Linked DNA regions of Saccharomyces cerevisiae S288C. The gene in region 2 interacts genetically with the main gene of each other region. Each region holds a gene or a part of one and is shown on either strand. Other genes may lie near its edges.

The links.
Region 1: mutations in KTR6 (region 2) and EFM1 together harm fitness more than expected from each alone (negative genetic interaction), as found in Saccharomyces cerevisiae (2 studies listed by BioGRID).
Region 3: mutations in KTR6 (region 2) and PNT1 together harm fitness more than expected from each alone (negative genetic interaction), as found in Saccharomyces cerevisiae (2 studies listed by BioGRID).
Region 4: mutations in KTR6 (region 2) and CYT2 together harm fitness more than expected from each alone (negative genetic interaction), as found in Saccharomyces cerevisiae (2 studies listed by BioGRID).

Annotation. Positions count from the first base shown.
Region 1 is NC_001140.6:19,384-25,519, forward strand, and holds EFM1 (protein-lysine N-methyltransferase), read left to right. Parts: upstream 1-2,399; coding exon 2,400-4,157; downstream 4,158-6,136. Other genes in the region: ARN1 (siderophore transporter), read right to left, coding at 1-1,588; CBP2 (Cbp2p), read right to left, coding at 4,234-6,126. UniProt on the Saccharomyces cerevisiae protein: S-adenosyl-L-methionine-dependent protein-lysine N-methyltransferase that monomethylates elongation factor 1-alpha (TEF1/TEF2) at 'Lys-30'.
Region 2 is NC_001148.4:455,259-461,169, reverse strand, and holds KTR6 (putative mannosyltransferase), read left to right. Parts: upstream 1-2,711; coding exon 2,712-4,052; downstream 4,053-5,911. Other genes in the region: mannosyltransferase complex subunit MNN9, read left to right, coding at 1-391; Arf family GTPase ARL3, read right to left, coding at 611-1,207; LEE1 (Lee1p), read right to left, coding at 4,506-5,411. UniProt on the Saccharomyces cerevisiae protein: Glycosyltransferase that transfers an alpha-D-mannosyl residue from GDP-mannose into lipid-linked oligosaccharide, forming an alpha-(1->2)-D-mannosyl-D-mannose linkage. Required for addition of mannosylphosphate in yeast mannan.
Region 3 is NC_001147.6:818,838-824,419, reverse strand, and holds PNT1 (Pnt1p), read right to left. Parts: upstream 3,398-5,582; coding exon 2,126-3,397; downstream 1-2,125. Other genes in the region: putative serine/threonine protein kinase HRK1, read left to right, coding at 1-1,832; RBL2 (Rbl2p), read right to left, coding at 3,646-3,966; DSE3 (Dse3p), read right to left, coding at 4,262-5,554. UniProt on the Saccharomyces cerevisiae protein: Probably involved in mitochondrial export. Confers resistance to the anti-pneumocystis carinii drug pentamidine. May act by the removal of pentamidine, or its damage targets, from the matrix by an active-transport mechanism.
Region 4 is NC_001143.9:274,596-279,634, forward strand, and holds CYT2 (cytochrome c1 heme lyase CYT2), read right to left. Parts: upstream 3,269-5,039; coding exon 2,594-3,268; downstream 1-2,593. Other genes in the region: MIF2 (Mif2p), read left to right, coding at 1-448; phosphopantothenoylcysteine decarboxylase complex subunit CAB3, read left to right, coding at 688-2,403; SRX1 (sulfiredoxin), read left to right, coding at 3,686-4,069; malate dehydrogenase MDH1, read left to right, coding at 4,528-5,039.

The DNA.
Region 1 (6,136 bases), on a different chromosome or scaffold from region 2:
CTAGAGCAACATCACCCATTCTCTTCAAAATTTGTTTGTACAAAGTCTGAGTCCAAATGGCACCGGAAACTGCGGAACCGACAGCAGAACCAATTCTATAGAGGGTATAGTTTAAAGCTGTAACTGTCGCCATGTTTTCATGAGAGACGGCAGATTGTACAGAGACGGTAACTGGGTAAGTGAACAAAGTAGTGCCCACACCCCAGACACATAATGCACCAATAATACCTGAATGGGACTGACTTCCACCTCTAAAGTGGTACAATAAACCCATAGCCACCATCCATAGCGCGCATCCAAACATTATGAATGGTTTCAATCTCGTACATCTTGTTACAAGTAAAGCGAAAAATGGAGAGGCCACAGTAGAGACAAATGAAGATAATGTGGCAATTCTGGTTGCAGATTTAACGGATTCATTGACGGCAACAATCATAACCGTGTACAAATAATCAGCGGCCATATAGTAAATAAAATCAATCAGGAAAGAAATACCCATAGAAGACCATACAGCCCTATCTTTGACCAGCCTATATGGAAGAATTGGATCTCTAGCGAATCGATATTCCCAAATCCATAAGATAGGGATCAAAACAAAGCCAAGAACAAAGGGGCCGATCAATCTTGAATCATTCCAGGTAGTTTTGACCCCACCAGCCAAGGTCAGTGGGACCAAGATACAACCTAGGGAACAACCCATCAAAAGGACACCAACGACATCTAACATCCAAAATAATTGCTTTAAGATCTTAATAAAACCATGTTCTTGATAATAGGACTTCTGGCCCTTCAAAGCGTGCCATTCAGGAGTCTTTCTGGCCCTCCATTGCATGTGCAACATACACAAAACGATTGGAACACATGATAGGGGAAAGATGAAAGCCCACATACCTACATCCCAAGACCAGTTGACAACAGGATTGGCTCTGGAAGTGATATTACCAGCAATCCATGTGTTGATGATAAAAGGCCAAGTCGGGACAAATTGATACAGCAGTCTCCACTTTAAAGATGAAAAATCGGATAGGATAATCAAAAGAATAAGGATTACACCCACATAGCCAGCATTGTAGAAAATGGCACCTGCAGCGTATCTTTGAACATCATAAGCTTGTGATTGAATAATTGTACCCACAACATATAGGATGACAGCACTAATGAAAAGGTATAGTCTACCAAACACATCAGACAACCTAGCGTATATGATTTGCGAAGCGGCACTGACCACAGCATTAATGACGTTGATTGTAGACAGCAGAGAATGCTCACTATAGGATGATGTGGCGTAACCAGTGTAAATATAACGGATGTTACCGTCCAGTCCATAACCGTAGCCACATATGAAAGCACTCAAAAGTAAAATCGCTTGTAAGTACCATTTATTGTAAGCAGAGCCAATGATTTCAGTCTGCTGGATAATTAGGCTCCTGTTCTGTCTCAAGGCATTGTATTTTTCAGATAACTGAGGGAGACCATATGAGTCGGAGTTGGAATCGTTATGAGTCTCAGGATTCAACTCGTGTTCCATTCCCATGAAGACATGTTTCTTTTCCTCCTTAACAGGATCGCGAGAGTGAACAGACTCCATTAGTACGTTGCTATGCAGTGGCTTGAACTACTGTCCATATATTTTTAAGAAAGAAAACAAGAGATATAGTGAACGAAAGCAAAAAGAGAGCTATCGAATGTTTCCTCCCCTATATACAATTATTCCTGAAATCTTCAGTTCTATGCATCTTGCATTACTTCATGTAAACTGTACTCCGATTTGCTTGGCCTTTTTTTCTCTTTGACACTATTTTCCTAACGATATGTGCTTGTTATATCACACCTGCTTTTATGGGTGCATTTTGATAAATTTGCAATCCCAAACAGGAAAGAAGTGAAAAAGGCCAAGACATATGTGGCTTTCTAACAAATACAGGCACACAAATTTCGTAAGAGAACAAGTCCTAAAGATGAACGTTAATGATAATATACAATTGTCTTCTCATTTCTGTTGATGGATTTTCATTCGCAGGTGTATTTTTCCATCGCTTCGTGATAGAGCTGCCAGTACGCTTCATCGCGGTCGCTTACATGCGTGATATTTAGGGGATCTTTCATTGGCTTCCGATCAGATAATATGTATCATTAGTCAGCGGAAGTTACAGGTGGAAACCCTCCCCACCTTGATAGTTGTCTTGATTGTATAGGCCTGTAATCTATTACTATTATTCTATTGGAGTCCTGCTCGTTGTTCGTTCAAGGCGAATGTGCCTGCGATGAGTTGACTATGAAAAAGAAAATTTTTCAACTTGAACTTGACCATTCCAACAAAGAAGAAATGATGGAAGTAAAAAAGACTAAGGAATCAAGCTTGGTGAAGCTACCTCGTCATTTAATTAACGAACTTCTGCATGATCACCCAAACTGAGCTAGATAACTGCTTACAATGGGCTCAAAATAATGGAGCCTTCATCGATCCGAAAATCTCTTTTAGGATTACAGAGGATGCTGGTGTTAGTGCATTTGTAAACGAAAAATTCTCTCCCAAACCCGACCAAGCTTTGATTAGGGTACCCGAAACTCTGCTGATCACTTCCCAGCAAGCTTTATCAGAATTTTCCCAGGCTGCTAATGAAAGGAGTCTTTTGAATTCCGTGACACAGTTGTACTTGTCAAAGTTGAAATTTGGCACCGATGCAGTTCACCTGAAATCCTTTTACAAACCATATTTAGATGTGCTACCCTTGCACCTTCCACAACCATATTTTTGGTCTACTGATGAAGTCATGAATTTGCATGGTACAGACGTGTACTTAACTATGAGAGATACGCTGAACAAACTAGTAAAGGAGTGGAGGATGCTGTTCCAAGCTTTATCTATTGAACACTCTTCTCAAGATAAGCAGTTCTTGTCTTTATTCCAGGAGAATAAAGACTCTGCCGTAGTGCCGTTGGAACAGTTCTGCGCACACATCAATGGATGTAAACTAGAAGATTCGGAATGGAACTCGTTCGTGGCGTATCTTTGGTCGTACTGCATCTTTAATTCTAGGGCATTTCCTCGTGTCATTTTAGGCAGGGCCGGTACAGACCGCACCAATCTGAACGAAGGATTTTTGTATCCAATAGTAGATTTATTAAACCATAAAAACGATGTACCAGTAAGATGGGAGATGAATGAACAAAATGAACTTTGTTTCATGTCGCAGACTACCACATTTAGTGCACAGGATGAATTGTTTAATAATTATGGTAATATTTCTAATGAAAAATGTTTGTTAAACTACGGGTTTTGGGATTCCTCGAATAAGTTTGACTTCTCTAGGTTGACTTTAAAGCTACCATCCACCTTAGTTAGCGGTTTGCCCGTGGATTTTAACAAATCAGGTAATTTTGTTACTGACGATGGAGAAACTACCATTTTACAATTTAGTTTAAAAATTTCTGAACCATTACCACCGGTTCTACTAGCGTTATTTGCCTACCTAAGTAAATTAAAGTCTGAAGAAACTCCAACCGTAAGGAGCGTATTGGAAGGTATTGATCAATTAACATCTGTAGTATCCCAGAGATTGCTGTTTTATAAGAATTTTAAAATTAAAACTTCTTCGACTCAAAAATTACGCCCTCATGTTATTAAACTAATCAAACTATACTATCAAGATAACAAAAAAATTCTGAACGCCACTACTGAGAAATTGTCCGTTTTACAAAAAAAAATATATAGCAATAATAAGGAGTTTTCTCTGTCATTCAAGACAATTTTTAAAAACGACAAAATATTTGCCAATTCTCTCTTACTGGTATTTGGTGCTATAAATTACGAAGATTTGATCACAAAAGACTGTCTTAATGACGCATTGTTGCTCTGGATAGTCAAATTAATCAACGATAAAAGTAATAATCAGGGAGGTTTCATTAAACAAACCTTCAAAGAAGTTAGTGATTCAATTGTCATTGAAAAAGAAGATGTTATGGAGTTTTTGCCGTTCTATAAAAAATACTTCCCTAATTTATCGGAGAGAATTCCAGAAATTTATAGTGTCGGTGATTGGGGCATAAGACAGTTCATTGTGGCAGATACTGCGATTGATAGATTGGTTTGGATCAGGAAATCAAATAAAGAGCCTATATTTCTAATGAAGAAGGCATACGACTTACAGATTTAGCTTTGATCTGTAGCCTAAGTATAAAATTCTACGTATGTATATATTTACATGCAATTTTTTCTTTTTCCAATTCATGTTAATGTTCTTCATCATTTGATAATAGGCCAATGATATTATCTACTATCTTCTCCTTTTGAGGAGAAGCTGCTTTCACTTCCTCGTTGCTTTTCTCTTCGTATAAATACATGAATTTCGACTTGTCCAGCATTTTTTTATCAATACAATGCATGTGCCCATGAAGTTCTACCTCCGACAAATCTTTAACAAAATATGTCGTTATTTGTGTCATGAATTTCAGTAGGGTTTGAAATATTTCGGGTATGGCGTTCTTCTTATCCAGAATAACAATTTTGTAGTTTGCTGATAATGTTATTGGACGAAGCTGGATGGGCCTATTTACGCGGAACTTTTCGCCATATATTTCCTGTTCGAAGTATAAAAGTTGGTTGGCCAATTTCTTTAATCCGTTTGCAGATTGTAGCGATTGTTCATTCGCAAAACCAGGTTCTATTGTTGCATTTATTGACTCAGTGAAACCCACCAACTCCATTAAAGTTGGTCTTAAATCATCTTGCATAAACTTGTACAAGTTTGGCTGGAAAATTCTAATCATTTTCGATTTTGTCAGCACGGTTTGCAAAATTAATGTGATGTGTTCAAATCTTGATAAAGTCGTTTCATCATTTTGGAAAATAGAGAATTGGTTCCATTTCATTTCTGAAATTACCAGTGCGGAATATGTTTGTAGGTCATGAAGAAAAGAGTCGTATTTTGTCTTGTAGTTGATCAGAGAAGCTTGGTCCGTGGGTATTTTCATGGACTCGGTCTCTTGATATTGCTTCCATATATATGAGTCCCAAACATTCCAACTAAATTGAAAGGAAGGCGCATTATCGTTACCAGAGAAGGAACGGATGCTTTTCTTGTTACGTTGTAAAATGGTGAATATATTGTAGAGAATGAAATTTTTGCAAAATTCAGCCCTCAATTGCCGGATGGAGAAGTCGTTTGATAATATTGTAGCTCTTAAAATGTCTCCAGGGCACGTTCTGTCTTTGTTTGATTGTTTGCTCCACAATGTCTTATGGCTAACCGATCTTTCTAAAAGTTGCTTCAAAGTGACGACATTACCACCAGCGATTCGAGTTGTGGCACTGTTTGCATCCAGATAGAATGGTTTACCCTCTTCGTTCGCCAGTATCCGACCAGCGTTAGCCTTCTCAATGCGCTTTCGTTCATTCAAGGTGCAAAGTGGCGAAGCTATCTTGGTCTTCAATTTGTCTACCTCAGTAACGAAAAATTCTCTATGTTTATCTACAAAGTAAGGGAAAATACCAATTCCATCGAATTCCCCAATCATCGCCTCATCGGAAACCTGGAAAAGAGGCAAGGGCTTTGCATTAGCTGGGTTTACAAACATGGGTACCTCACCATTATTTTGTTCCAAGAGTCTATCGTAAGTGCTCTTCTTAACCCCGATTCCCCGACAAAAGTTTGAAAATATCGACTTAGGCCAAATTACACGCTGCAGTTTCAACTTATCATCTTTGCATCGTACCCTTATTAATTGTTGCCACTCGAAAGATGGCTTGAAGTCCTCATCCATTTCGCTGAACAACTTCTCGTAGAGACTTAAGGGGTGGTCAAACATAGGCGCAATCCGTTCCCAGTGTTGGATCCTCTTCTTCGAGGATTTTTGAGTTAGATCTGTTCTAACAATCTTGAATGCGTGTTCGCGAGGGGCGTTTATATCACGTAATAGCAGTTTTTGCAAGTCCGTGAGTGAAATATTATACAGTACTCCTTCAAGATCACAATATTCATAAGATAAGTTTGTCTTCTTAAACGCTTGCTTACAGCGAGGGAACACCTGATGTGTGATATTCTCCATGTTGAACTTATACCTGTAACGAGAGGAACTGCCCTGTCTCCTCAATGAGACCATGAACAATGTTTGCCAATTCACCATTTTGGTCACT
Region 2 (5,911 bases):
TTACGATGAAGAGAAGAAGCAACCATCAATCAGACCATACGATTTCAACAACTGGCAAGAAAGTGACACCGGTTTAGAAATAGCCTCTCAGATGGGTGATGACGAGATTATTGTCGAGGGTTATGCAGAAATTGCCACTTATAGGCCATTAATGGCTCATTTCTACGATGCTAATGGCGTACCAGGTGAAGAGATGGCGCTGGATGGTGTTGGTGGAGGCTGTACTTTGGTCAAAGCAGAAGTTCACAGAGACGGTGCCATGTTCCCTAATTTCCCATTTTATCACTTGATTGAAACAGAAGGTTTTGCTAAGATGGCGAAGAGATTAAACTACGATGTATTTGGCTTACCAAACTATTTGGTTTATCACATAGAGGAAGAGAACCATTGAGCAACTGAGCAAAAAGCATACAGAAGCTATAGCGTTATTGAAAGATAATATTGTTGCGATTATTAGTTGAAAATAAACAAAACAAGATATATATTCATATATATATATATATAATTTACACATGTATATTAAAAAATGCCGAATAAAAAGTGCTACAACAACTAATTTCTGAGCTTGAGAATAAACCATTCACATTTTATTTCTTTTGGTGCTTCTTTATCATTTATAAATCGGTGGTCTTGACTTTTTATTCCTTTCTAGTCTAACAATCATCCATTCTATAGCGTCTTTAACACCTTCTCCAGTCAATGCGCTTATTGGTAAAACCCTACTATCTCTAGCGCTTATATGTTCCGCAATCTTATTAAATACTTCTTTTATATCTTGTACTTCCATTCTATCTTGTCTATCTTGTTTATTGGCCAGCATCAAGATGGGTACACCTTCAATTTCTTCATCCATTACAACTGACTGTAGGGTCGTGGAACATTCGTCTAATCGTTCTCTATCTGAACTATCCACAATGAAAATTATACCATGACATAGGGAATAGTATTCGGACCACATTGATCTCAGTGATTCTTGACCACCTACATCCCAAAACTTCAAGATCTGTTTACTGTCAACGGGTATTGTCGCCACATTTTGTCCTACCGTAGGCTGTATCTTTTCCAAGGCTTTGAACGCCAGAGAGTATTCCTTTTTCAATGTCTCCAAGAACGTCGTTTTGCCTGCATTGTCTAGACCTAATATTAGAATTGAATATTGTTCCTTTTTATTCCAATTATTGTAAAGTCCCTTGACTAAATGAAACATGTGTGCGGTGCGCTTTATATGCTTTATTCTCCTTCATCTACTTGATTAACACATCGATCTGAATTCGTTTTTTAATTTTCCGTTTACATTTGTCTGAAAAAGGTGTAAACATATTTCTTATACTAACACTCCCATAAAGTTCAAAGTAGAAAATAGGAGGTGGGGGAGGATACGTACATATGCAAGCTACATTGACGTATCTGCTCTTAAACATAAAATAAAAATGCAGTAGTATGTTAACTTATTTAATGGTGGGATATATGCTTCTAACTGAATATAACTGCTTAGCATTCAAACTCTAAAATAACAAAGTTTTCATCACCTAATAAATGAGAAATAGAATCCGTAGCTAAATCGGTCGAGTTCAACAAGACTTCTCTATCTTCATTTTTAATCAGTTTCCCACCGACCCAGTTAAGATTTTTCAAAAGATCCAAACCATTATTAATTAAATCATCTCTTAAAATATACAATCTCAATTTCATGTATTCGAATTTGAAGTTTTGGTTCAGGTTGGAAGTTAGCTCTAAAAGGGCAAGTAACCAATCTTTATTTATATAGGTACTGTGGTTATCATGAACGTTCCTACTATTCAGTAAAGATGGTAATACAACATGGAAATAGTTTTCATTAAGTTTACACCAAATCAGTTCCTGCGTAAATAGGGGAAGATACAGTATGAAATACTGCGAGCCTAGTTTTCTCCAATTGTAACCATCGTGGCTATTATTATTTTTATATTGCTTGGTATTTTCATTATAAATTAGTCTTTTTAACGTAGTTTTCATATCGTTTACAAGCTTATTTTTCAACAGCTTAGCAACAGACTTCTGATTGTTCCCCTTATTTTTTGACGGAACATTGTAATCTAATATGAATTGAGATTCCATGCATAAAATAACATCCCAGTAAAAATCGATGATATCAATCTCTGGTGGAACGTCTAGAGGGATGTCACGCGCACCAATCCTTAAATCCCCCACTAGCCAAACTATACGTAGAAAGTTTAGGCATTGGTGTGCACTTATTACTTTTTAGCAGTGAACTTACTGGAAAATGTAAAGAAATACCCAGATTTGATGGGTCCTCTATGAGCCTCATGAGTTCAGGACTCTGTAAAACGTTTATTATTTTTGTTTTCCTTTTCTGTATTACTTCATACATTTTCAAAGATCTTTTTACTTCTTTATGTTATCCTCACTATTGAAATACAACGTTACTAGGTCTTTTATCTTTCCATATTTTTATTCTCAATCACATACATATATAGTCATCGCCGATTATCTTTTCGTTTTTTAAGTGGCGCTCTCGTGAGACACGAGTTGTTCCTTCACAGGAAAAAAAAATATAAAAATAACCTTCAAGTTACATGTGATATTTATTCGAGAAATGTGGATGAGATTTGTTAAATGTACTTATAATGTGTACGAGTATACAAGACTAGAGGGATACTAAGCGTTCACCCAACCTTTTGTGCCCTTTAGTGAAGATAAGATAAGGTAAGATGCACGTACTGCTGAGCAAAAAAATAGCACGCTTTCTGTTGATTTCGTTTGTTTTCGTGCTTGCGCTAATGGTGACAATAAATCATCCAAAAACAAAGCAGATGTCTGAACAGTATGTTACACCATACCTTCCGAAATCTTTGCAACCTATTGCAAAAATTAGTGCAGAGGAACAAAGGCGTATACAAAGTGAACAGGAAGAAGCCGAATTGAAGCAATCTTTAGAGGGAGAGGCCATTAGAAATGCCACCGTGAATGCCATTAAGGAAAAGATCAAATCTTATGGTGGTAATGAAACGACGCTAGGGTTCATGGTGCCATCGTATATCAATCATAGAGGATCACCACCAAAGGCGTGCTTTGTCTCACTAATTACTGAAAGGGATTCCATGACCCAAATCTTACAATCTATTGATGAAGTGCAGGTGAAGTTTAACAAAAATTTTGCTTATCCTTGGGTTTTTATTAGTCAGGGGGAGCTTGACGGAATGAAGCAAGAAATGATTCGTCAAGCCATAACTGATTCTATGAATGGTGATCCTGAGTTAATTAATATTAAATTTGCTGAAATTCCTGCAGACGAATGGGTATACCCTGAATGGATTGATGAAAATAAAGCAGCAGAATCGCTAATTTCATTAGCAAATGTACCGGATGGTGATTCTAGAGCTGTAAGATATCAAGCTAGATATTTTGCAGGGTTTTTTTGGAGGCATCCAGTTCTGGATGAGTTTGATTGGTACTGGAGAGTAGACCCTGGTATTAAATTGTACTGTGATATTGATCATGACCTTTTTAGGTGGATGCAAGATGAAGGCAAAGTGTTTGGTTTCACATTGAGTATGAGTGAAGCTAAGGAAGCCAATGAGAAGATTTGGGATGTTACGAAAAAATTTGCAAAGGATTTTCCAAAGTTTATTTCCGAGAATAATTTCAAGTCATTTATTACAAAAAAGGACTCTGAAGATTTTAACAACTGTGAATTCACATCAAATTTTGAAATTGGTAATTTGAACTTTTATAGATCGCCAGCTTACAGGAAATTTTTTAATTACATCGACGAAGAGGGCGGTATTTTCTACTGGAAATGGTCTGATTCCATCATCCACACAATTGGGTTATCGATGCTGTTGCCAAAGGATAAAATACATTTTTTCGAAAATATAGGATTCCATTATGACAAGTACAATAACTGTCCCCTAAACGATGATATATGGAACCAATATAATTGTAACTGTGACCAGGGTAACGATTTCACGTTTAGAAGTGGTTCATGTGGCGGACATTACTTCGACATTATGAAGAAAGATAAGCCAGAAGGTTGGGATAGGTTACCATAAATCAAAACACTGATGTATAAGAACAATAATCTTCTACATATGAATATATATACATATGTATTTATTTATTTTATTTAATTTTTAATTAGGATCGCGAGAAAGAGAAAAACAAAACTAACTTATGATGGAACGTATCGAGAGGAGGTGAATATATATATATAAAATGACTAGGCTAGAAGATTCAGAGCTTCATGTATTGTCGTAGTTTTTTTGGTTTGACTTTTTTAATCAAATTTCAAATTTCAGTAAATAATTGGTTGGATATTACTATGCAAAATGCAACCGTATTTTAAAATAAAATTAAAAGAATCCAACTCATACAATGAAATGTTTTTTATATTAAACGTGCTTTTTTTTATTATTTTTTGTTCTTATTTTCCGGCTTTCGGAAGATGTAGAGTGGTCCGGTATATTAATGCTTGAACTAGGAAAAACTATGGATGGGGCGGCTCTTCATTCATGACAGTATCTGGAATTGAAATTGTGAATAAGTAAATCTTCAATTTCATTATCTGATTCTTCTTGAATTGCAGGGCCTGTACGATACCTTAAATTCTGATTCACACTCGGATTCGATAACGTAGTTTGGCCTTGCTCTTGCCAAATGTTAGATGAAGACGAAGAGACTGGAGAATAGGCATTAATGTTGGAGTTATTATAGCTATAGTTGATGTACGAAGAAGAAGACGAAGGGGGAGAAAAGAATTCAGTATATAGGGCCTCTGGACTTTTCTGAGGCGAATACATTAGGTATTGCGAGGAAAAGTAGTTTGCATTCGAAGCAGAGTGAGAGAATTCCGTTTGTGCAGACAGAGGAGGAGACGTGTAGGTAGAGAAAGAAGCTGATCTAGCATGGGATAAGTAGTTGTTTTGTGAAGGGGGAGTGATGTCAATAGGTTCTTTACTGTTCATCTTGAACCCATTTGGCAGCACATGAGCATTAACACACTTGTTACCGAATTTACAGTTACCCTTTGCGAAATACTTGCAAGGTAAATTATTCGCAGAACTGATAATATCTGGGGAATGGGAAAAGGGACAAGACGAGCCAGCTTGGCAATTGCCCATCTTAAAAAATTTGCATGGCACGTGTGAATAGTCCTTCTGCTGTTGAGAATTGTTCTTCGTTATCAGTAAATGTTCCATGATAATTTTTTGTTGACGTGATGAGAAAGGCAGTTGATTGCCGACAGTACAATTTTTTGACAAATTTACATTTGCATTGCTGTCATTGAAAGACCTTGGAATATTCTGGAAATCCTGAATTTGCGATGCAAGCATTTCGTTTGCTGATTGGGAGTTTCTTCTTGCGTTACCGCCCGGATGATTTGATACAGACATATTCTCAAAAGCATCCATTTTGTTTTAGCAAATAATAGTTTTAAGATTTATAATAATAATAATAATAGTAATAGTAATAGTAGTAGTTATGATAGTGTTAGATAATAAAATCGAGATTTTGTAGAAACAAGGGGAAGCCGAAAAAGAAGAAATTATAATTACTCTAATATGACGGCACAAGAGAAAAGGGAAAAGAGTAACTGCTAAGAGATTCTGTTTTTATAATGCCCGGAGTAAAAGAAGCTTTGAGATTAAAAGATCACCACCATATTTTGTAATAATTTACTTTAGATTGAGATATAGGGGAAGAACTACACGAAGCACCGAAATCCAAAACTTAAAAATTACAAGATAAGCACGAAAATACATAATACAAATAAAAAATGATAAAGGCAGAATTATACTGTGGTACCTTGAAGATAAGAATACCGTACCACAACATGTTAATCTCCACATCATTTTATTACTAGCACTGCCACACCGTGCACCCCATACAGGATGTTGTCTGCACCTTTTCT
Region 3 (5,582 bases), on a different chromosome or scaffold from region 2:
CCCATTCCCCCCCACCTTCAAAATCAACTTCTACAGTTAATTTAAATAATCACTATCGTGCCCAGCATCCTCATGGCTTTACAGACCACTATGCTCATACCCAGTCTGCTATACCGCCAAGTACCGATTCTATCCTATCTTTGTCCAATAATATTAATATATATCACGATGATTGTATTCTGGCTCAAAAATACGGGAAATTGGGTAAGTTATTGGGTTCCGGTGCCGGTGGGTCCGTTAAAGTTCTTGTGAGACCAACTGATGGTGCTACTTTTGCCGTCAAAGAATTCAGACCAAGGAAACCGAATGAGAGTGTGAAAGAATATGCCAAGAAGTGCACCGCAGAATTTTGTATTGGTTCGACTTTACATCACCCAAATGTTATCGAAACTGTTGACGTTTTCTCTGATTCTAAACAAAATAAATACTATGAAGTTATGGAGTACTGTCCGATTGATTTTTTTGCTGTTGTTATGACAGGCAAGATGTCTCGTGGCGAGATCAACTGTTGCTTGAAGCAATTGACTGAAGGTGTTAAATATTTACATTCTATGGGATTGGCACATAGAGATTTGAAATTGGATAATTGTGTCATGACTTCCCAGGGTATTTTGAAATTAATTGATTTTGGTAGTGCTGTTGTGTTCAGATATCCTTTTGAAGATGGCGTAACGATGGCTCATGGAATCGTGGGTAGTGACCCTTACTTAGCGCCGGAAGTGATTACCTCCACCAAATCTTATGATCCTCAGTGCGTCGATATATGGTCTATTGGGATCATATATTGTTGTATGGTGCTTAAAAGGTTTCCATGGAAAGCCCCTAGAGATTCTGACGATAATTTTAGATTATATTGTATGCCGGATGATATAGAACACGACTATGTTGAATCTGCCAGGCATCACGAAGAGTTACTGAAGGAAAGAAAAGAAAAGCGTCAAAGGTTTTTGAATCACAGTGACTGTTCCGCCATCAATCAGCAACAACCAGCTCATGAATCAAACTTGAAAACAGTTCAAAATCAAGTTCCAAATACTCCAGCATCTATACAGGGTAAAAGCGATAACAAACCAGACATTGTGGAAGAAGAAACCGAAGAAAATAAAGAAGATGATAGCAATAATGATAAAGAAAGCACGCCAGATAATGACAAGGAAAGTACCATCGATATTAAAATAAGCAAAAATGAGAATAAAAGCACGGTAGTTTCAGCTAACCCAAAGAAAGTAGATGCCGATGCCGACGCTGATTGCGATGCTAATGGTGACTCTAACGGCAGAGTGGATTGCAAGGCTAACAGTGACTGCAATGACAAAACGGATTGTAATGCTAACAATGACTGCAGCAATGAATCGGATTGTAACGCTAAAGTTGATACTAACGTCAACACTGCTGCCAACGCTAACCCTGATATGGTTCCCCAAAACAATCCACAACAACAACAACAACAACAACAACAACAACAACAACAACAACAACAACAACAACAACAACACCATCATCACCAGCATCAAAATCAAGACAAGGCCCATAGTATCGCTTCCGATAATAAATCGAGTCAACAGCACAGAGGACCTCACCATAAAAAAATTATTCATGGCCCATACCGTCTATTACGTCTACTACCACATGCTTCAAGACCTATCATGTCCCGTATACTGCAAGTAGATCCAAAGAAAAGAGCAACCTTAGATGATATTTTTAATGATGAATGGTTTGCCGCCATTGCTGCCTGTACCATGGATTCAAAAAATAAAGTTATTAGAGCGCCTGGCCATCACCATACATTGGTTAGGGAGGAAAATGCTCACTTAGAGACCTACAAGGTTTAATACGAACTACTCAATTATTTTCACTTCTTTTTTCGATTAATTTAATTGTATTTTCTATTTTTTCTTATTTTTTTCTTTCACTTTCCAATTGAAACGCTTGACGAAAATCTATATACTATATATACGGAAGAGTATCTATCATATTATACATACAATATAGAGTAACATTGCCCTTTGCTCCAAAAGCAAGAAACATCACTGAATTATTGTTTGAATTTGCAATTAGAAAAGTTTAAAAGAGTTTTTGTTTTAAACAATATGTACAGCATAGATAATGTCATGAATATTTACATCTATTGAATATCTTTCGTAGCTACCAATTCTGAATTATATTTTAACAATGATATATTGTTGACACCCCATTTCTCACTGAATGTATGCTTTCCGTTTAAGGATATAGTGTCATTATATCTTAATGTCCAATAAAGAAACAATCTTTTCAGTAAGATTTCTTTCCCTAACGTGTCATTAACCATCTCATTCAAGTCATCGCCCATGTGATAAAGTTTTCTTTCAAGTATACAGTTAACCAATTCTCTATCACTTAGCGCGATTTTAGTTTTCTCAACATCAGTGTTGAGTATACTCTGCAACAGCAACCAGTCATCGATAAACAGATACTGGTAAATTTTTTCTATCTCATTGCAAAGTAGCTTCTGTAATTTTAACTTTTTATAAATATACAGTTTCCAGTTTGATATCATACTTTGAGGAAAGCTTGTCAGAAAATTATACAAATTCTCAATAGGAACTGCATATGGTGGCTCATACTTAATTGTACCTTGCTTAGTAAACTCTAAGGGACCCAGACCGTAGTTACCTTGTGTGCTTGTTGTTCCCTTGATATATGAGTTGGAAAGCTTCTTGTATCCACCAGGAGTTAAACAATTGTACGGACAGACACGTGGAAAAAAGGTAAAGATCAATACACTTACCTCCTCAAATATGAATACTAAGGTGAAAAATACAGGTAATTTCCAGATTTGATCTCGTCTGATCAGTTCCACCAGTGTTTTCCTATTGATTGAAAGTGGCCTTAATGGGGCTTTTGCTGAAGAACTTGTAGGCAATGATGAAGACGATAGTCTTGTATTGATTTCATGCATTTCTATTTCCCGTACTAAGTTAGCCAATGCACCGTTTTTTATGCTGAATTTCTGCTCTTCGTTTCGAGTATCCCAGAATACTTTTAACGTGTTCTGAATTCCTGTTTTATAGCTTTTTAAAAGATACAATCCAATTCTAAACCAACCTGTCATGAATTTCCTCCATTTGCCAACCTTAGTATCCAATTTTACCTGTTCCAAGATCTCCTGCTTGGGGAACTTAGTCATTGGTAGGGATCGATTAGAGTTTAGAGTAGCGGCCAGAGGCTCTGGAGAATCGGATGGTGTTGTCTTCGCATTCCAATCGACATCCTGTACTATCTGTAGTGAACCTAATTTGTAACGGCTATTCAACGCTTTAAATAGTGGTGCCTTCACTAAACCGTGCAATTGAATAGAATCGCTTTTTATCACCGATGGTGCTATGTATTTTCGTACCAGTGCAACTCGAGAATCCATATCGATGGCATTAAAGGTGTTAACTCAATTAAATAGATTAATAAAGTTCTTTTTAAATATAGAGTAAAATGTTCTTATATCTCGTCACTGTATCAACAGCCGTCTTCCACTTTTCTACTTTTGCATATAATATTCCGTGCATTTTCTAGCGAGATTTATTATTCATCCGCAACAGGTTTGTACATAATAAAGTATAAAAACCTGCATCAAAATAAATGCGAAAAGGTAAGAAAAAGGTTATCTATAGATTATTTAGAATCGAGTAATTCCTGTGCAGACGTAATAGCGGATCTTGCATCACTGACATCTTCGGTACCCTGGTAAGTTTTTAGAAATTGTTCTAAATCCTCTTTAAATTCTCTAATCTTCTCATATAAAGTAGGTAATAATCTTTTTGTGTCATCAAGGACCTCCTCCTGTTTCTTCAAGTCATATGGGTCAACTGACTTGTCTTCTTTAAGTTTTGCCACATGTGCTTCCTGATCTTTCAGTTCTTGTTGGTAGTACCCTTCCTCCTTAGTCAGCCTCTTCAAGGCCTTGACTTTTATATCCAATTGTGTGGGTGCCATTGATAGTGAAATGTAGTTTTCTTGAGTTCAACCTGTTGTGCTTTATGCTCAAAAATGCCCTTATAAGACGCACTGTATCTAACTGCTCTGTTTATATGTAGCCATAGTAGTTCTTCATTATGATCCTTTGCGGGTAATACTACAAAAGGTGCGACATAAGCGGCCATTTATCGTTGAAATTGTGACACTTTTCTATTGATGACCACCTCTGGTGCAAATACACAATGTGTCACCGCTCATGCCATTATTCTACTTATATACGTATGATTTTACTTGAAACCTAGAATAAATTTTTTTATTCGCTGTAAATGCTACTGCTGCAACTTGCTATTTCAATGCAGTCAATTTTTTTTTGAAGAATATTCAAAGCCCTATCCTCGTCATCGTTGTCATCTCCATCATCACTGTCATCGTCAAAAGTCATGACATGCATTATTTTAGGCGGATCGAGAATTACTTTTTTTAATTTTCTTATAGAGAGTTTATTCAAAAGCGTATTGCACGATGATGTTTGTGCAACTTTTGGAAGCTTGTTATGTATATCCAGATCTTCCACTGATACTGTTGAGGGCAAAGTCTCCGCAGCAGTGCAATAGCCTTCCTCACTAGTGCTTTCAGACACAATGGATGATCTCATTGTCCTCTTATTCGTGTTCCATACTATACTTTCTACTTCGGACAATTCCTCATCTGAATTCGATTGGTCAGAGTATGTACTGCATCCAGACGTGGTGTATTCTGGGCTAGAAATGACATCGTTTAATGTGTTAGAATTGACAGGTTTCAACTTTGGTGTTGTTGACGAAAACAAAGTCTCTGTGTCGTCAGGGCAGACGACATATGGTACCTGAAATGCCTCATTTTTTTTAGCTATTTGTTTTGAAGCGCATATATCGATAATTCTGTCAATTTCTGAATTTAGGGCAGTAGAATCGCTTGTAGAAACGTTTTCATAGGCTGATAGAATTTCGTCAAACAATATTTCACTACCGCTTTTGCCATACTTATTTTTTCTACAGCAATCTTGTGTCTGTGTTTGCATTAGGGAGACCGGATTAATAGGAGTAAGGGCTTTTACAGGCATTACAATTGGGGCCGGGCGAGAGACAAACACTTTATCAATAATATGATCCGAATGTGTCTTATGCCCTAAAGATTGTACTACTGCAGGCTTTGACAGCGTCGGCCTACGTAAACTTTTTCTTTGAATTGGTAGTGATTTTACCTTCTTTCTTTCTCGTAATGGTAGAATCGTGCTTTGAGGACAAACTGGTCCCTTGGGAACTTGCATGTCAGTAAATTTTTTCTCTCTAATCACCTCAAGTTGGGAGCGTGGCCTCTTCTTGAAATCATGTAAGAACAATTCTGGAACAGACTCTAACCGTTTCTTCAGTTTCAGTGTACCCCCAAATCTTTTAGACAACCTGTTACCACCGTTGCTGGTACGTAAAACCTTATCATCTTCATCTTCAAAATCTTGTGGTATCGGTGGAATATACTTCAAGTCATCAGCTGTTAATGTTAGCGAAGATGGTCTGACTGCATCAACATTCTTTTCAATTTTATTGCCCAAAAACTTTCTTGGCATTACTAAGTTATTCTGTAGGATTTTTTTG
Region 4 (5,039 bases), on a different chromosome or scaffold from region 2:
GGAAGCTAATGTGAAAATTAGCGACACTAAGGAGGAAACTAAGGATGAAATTATTGCATTCGCGCCCAATTTGTCGCAAACTGAACAAGTAAAAGACACGAAGGACGAGAATTTTGCCCTTGAGATAATGTTCGATAAGCATAAAGAATATTTTGCTAGCGGCATATTAAAACTACCAGCTATTTCTGGACAAAAGAAATTAAGCAACTCATTTAGGACATATATTACGTTCCACGTGATACAGGGAATAGTCGAAGTAACTGTATGTAAGAACAAGTTCTTGAGCGTTAAAGGTTCCACTTTCCAAATACCGGCATTCAACGAGTACGCGATTGCCAATAGAGGGAATGATGAAGCCAAAATGTTCTTCGTTCAAGTGACCGTTTCAGAAGACGCTAACGATGACAACGACAAAGAATTAGACAGTACGTTTGACACTTTTGGGTAATTATGATGTGAATATTCTCATTATGCATGCTATGTACTGAAGAAATATAACTAGGTCCATACGCTTATACTGTTAAACATGTGAACTTTTCTGTAAGAAAATGAATCACGTAAAATTTCGCACCGAACTTTCGTAGATGAGAGAACAAAAAGCAGAAAAAGAGAAAGAACAGTAAAGTAACACTTAGTTAGCATATTTAAATAAAAGTCTAAAGGACCAGCAAAGAGTTATTAGGTGTGATGACGGATGAAAAAGTGAACTCAGATCAGAATATGAACGGTAAGCAGGGAGTTAACTTAATTTCATCCTTGCCTACAACACAAGTGCCGGTTTCAATTTTGACCAACAAGGAGAGAAGAAAAAGTATTCACGATGAATCAAATTTCGAAAGATCTGATAGTCATGAAGATCAATCAAAATCCAACTCTAATAGGAGGAATATTTACAAAAACGATTATAGCACAAATTTGAGGGATTTCTCTTTTGCCAATCTGAAGCAAAATAGTGAAAGGAACAAAGATGGCCATGAAATACAGATCAACACCAGTATGCCAGCTAATACAAATGGCCAGCAAAAAAGGTTTTCACCTTCATTACCTTCTGCTGTTTCATTTACGGTGCCCGAGGTGGAAAGGTTGCCGTATCATAGATATTCGATATCCAATAAACCTGGAAAGCAGCAGCAGCAGCAGGAACAACTGCAGCAAAATCAACAACAAGAAGAGCAGCAAAAGGCACAACTGCAGGAGCAAAATCAACGAGCAAAACAGCAAGAAGAGGTGAAGCAAATTCAGGAGCAAGTGCAAAAAAAGCAAACTGAAAGACAGCAACTGATAGACGAAAAGGAGAGGATAGCGAATGCAATATTTAAGGAGAACACTACTAATGATGGTACTGATATCAGGAAACATTCGGTATCGAGTGGTACGAGCAATAGCGAAGATGAAGTAGATTCACCTTCGATGGAAAAAAATTCTATCGTTCATATGCCAGGTGATTTTATCTACTTCAATCCCAAGTCAAACGCTTCTAAACCTATCACTGCAAAGGCGGCGCCATTATCGGCTAATAACTCCACACATAAAAACAAGGAAGTTATCACTGCACCCACAGGGCCTCGTGTACCCTTCACAGAGTTCTTTCAGAAGGAAGACGACAAGAAATTCCACATTCTCATTGGTGCGACGGGCTCAGTTGCCACAATAAAAGTACCTCTAATTATTGATAAACTTTTCAAGATATATGGGCCTGAGAAAATCTCTATTCAGTTGATTGTCACAAAACCCGCTGAGCATTTTTTGAAAGGGCTCAAAATGTCAACACACGTTAAAATTTGGAGGGAGGAAGACGCTTGGGTATTCGACGCTGTGAATAAGAATGATACTAGCTTGAGTCTGAACTTGATATTGCACCATGAATTAAGAAAATGGGCTGATATTTTCCTGATTGCGCCTTTGTCAGCTAACACACTTGCTAAACTGGCCAATGGTATATGTAACAATTTGCTAACTTCTGTGATGAGAGATTGGTCACCACTGACCCCAGTGTTGATTGCGCCTGCAATGAATACATTCATGTATATCAATCCTATGACAAAGAAACACCTGACGAGTTTAGTGCAAGACTATCCGTTCATCCAAGTTTTGAAACCGGTGGAAAAGGTATTAATATGCGGAGATATTGGTATGGGTGGTATGAGAGAATGGACAGATATTGTAGAGATCGTTAGGAGGAGAATCAATGAAATACGGAAAGCTAGGGACGAGGAAACTGGTGATAAAGAGCAAGAACAAGAAGAACAAGAGGGTGCTGACAATGAGGACGACGATGATGAGGATGACGAAGAGGATGAGGAGGACGAGGAGGAGGAAGAAGCTCTAAATGAAACAGCATCCGATGAGAGCAATGACGAGGAAGACGAAGAGGATGAGGAAGACGTGAAAACCGAAGTTTAAATGCATTAGAAAAGAGTATTTTGTGTTATGTTTTATGTTTTATTTTTTTTTTTTTTGTTTATTCCTTAAAAGAAGATTACTGCTTTTTCATTCCCTAGTTTCTAAATTGAGTGCCTAAATAAGATTAAATAAATATGTATGTGGAAACTAGGGAGGGTATGTTTTTATTTACAGGAATAGTTGTAGTAATTCAAAAGCCTAAAGATTTCCAGAACCGTAATCTAAAGCCCTCAAAACTGTTTAATTTTGGTCTAACATCGAGATAAATAAGTGGTTGTTGCTGCGAGTTTGCATCGTTCAGATCGGTGGAATAGAAATCGATTACGTAGTCGACGGTTTTACCGCATCTATCTATCTGCCAATCATGTCTATCAAAAGGTTTGGCCAGGTGCAAGATACGGGACCTGAACCAGGCCCTTGGTGTCAGTTTTTTGGAATCACCTTTAAAATTTGTTAATTTGATACCGCCACACGCTTCACCACCCTGCTTGTCTTCCCAGCTTTTAATGTAGTTCCAAACCCGCTCATTGATGGAGTTATGTAAAGGCACAACCACCTTCATGTCATCTGAGTTCGGATCCCAATTTTTTTTCATCATTGCCTCGTAAAATTGTTTCTCCGACGGGTATATCCAGTTTCTGTCAGAATTCGTCCTTGGTATGGTGGAAACCTCTCTGGACTGAGAGAGATCCACCGTGGTGTGATATTCAGGCGTTTTATCGTTATCTTGTGGGTTTGCAGAGCACTCTAGTTGATTGCCTGGGGCAGTAGCACCAGGATGCGCTTCGTTGCCATGTTCTCGTAGCCATAACTTTTTGGTTTCCTCATCTACGGGGCATTTCCCCTGTTGGTCTGAAGACATCATAATATGTAAAATAGAGACGAATGAAAAGCACGTGAACTAACAAACTATTTACTACTACCGAAATGTGATGCTTAAGCCTTTGGCCTCTGCAATACTAGCGATTGCTTTTTCCCTGATTAGTAAGCTACATCATTTATACTACATCTTTCTGTCTTAGAAGGCTTACAAACATCGAAAAGCTGGAACTTTGATTTCGAAAAAAATATGCCGTTACCCGTTGCGGGTCCCTTTTTTTTAGAAGGCCGGCCCAGAAGTCGCCATTATTTTTAGTCATTACAGTAGCCCTGTTGGGTAAGGATGCGATGCAATACATGTCAAGAGGTGTTGTATATAAACCACAATATCTACCATCAATGAGCTATATATACTTTTCTTACTGAAAAAAAAAACTACAAAACCAAGTAAAAAAAGAACAATATGTCACTACAAAGCAACAGTGTAAAACCAACAGAAATTCCTCTCTCAGAGATCAGACGCCCCCTAGCGCCTGTGTTGGATCCTCAAAAGATCGACGCAATGGTGGCCACAATGAAGGGCATTCCCACCGCTAGCAAGACATGCTCTCTAGAACAGGCTGAGGCGGCTGCCTCAGCCGGGGAACTGCCGCCCGTGGACGTGCTGGGCGTGCGAGTCAAGGGACAGACGCTATATTATGCCTTCGGCGGCTGCCACCGTCTACAGGCATACGACCGCCGGGCTCGCGAAACGCAGAACGCCGCCTTCCCCGTGCGCTGCAGGGTGCTACCGGCCACTCCCCGCCAAATCCGCATGTACCTGGGCAGCAGTCTCGACATCGAATAATGATTACGCTAATAACACTACATAAGAAACATAGATAAATTATAATTCACTAATACAAAATCCCTCAATTTAATTAATCAATTTCTTATTCAACAACTAGAGTAGGCACTAGCAGTTTGTGCGACCCTCGGCGCCGGAGAGGTACAAGGGACCTGGCGGTTGGGCCTTCCTGCCAGCTTCTCCCCCCCTTCTCGGCATTCACTCAGCGTTCATTGGCTCAATCACGCGCCAAGCGGATTCCCAGAAAAATACAAAAAAAAGTTGCCATAATACAATGGCGGATATTACAATATATATAGCTTGCGCTTTAAAAAGAAGTGTTAGCACGCATTGGGTGTTTGTACTGTATTCCTCCACTTAAGATAACGAATACACATATAGATATACAATATATTATACGTGGACATCTACGGAAAGGAAGAAAAAAAACAAAAGGAAAAGGAAGGATACCATATACAATGTTGTCAAGAGTAGCTAAACGTGCGTTTTCCTCTACAGTTGCCAACCCTTATAAAGTGACTGTTTTGGGTGCAGGCGGTGGTATTGGACAACCATTGTCTTTGCTTCTAAAGCTTAACCATAAAGTCACGGACTTAAGACTGTACGACCTAAAGGGCGCAAAAGGTGTTGCCACCGATTTGTCTCATATTCCAACAAACTCCGTGGTCAAGGGGTTTACTCCAGAAGAGCCAGACGGATTGAACAACGCTTTAAAGGACACAGACATGGTTTTAATTCCTGCTGGTGTGCCCAGAAAGCCTGGTATGACACGTGATGACTTGTTCGCCATCAACGCAAGCATCGTTCGCGATTTGGCAGCAGCAACCGCCGAATCCGCTCCCAATGCTGCCATTCTGGTCATTTCCAACCCAGTCAATTCTACCGTTCCAATTGTCGCCCAAGTCTTGAAAAACAAGGGTGTTTACAACCCAAAGAAATTGTTCGGTGTGACTACCTTGGACTCTATTAG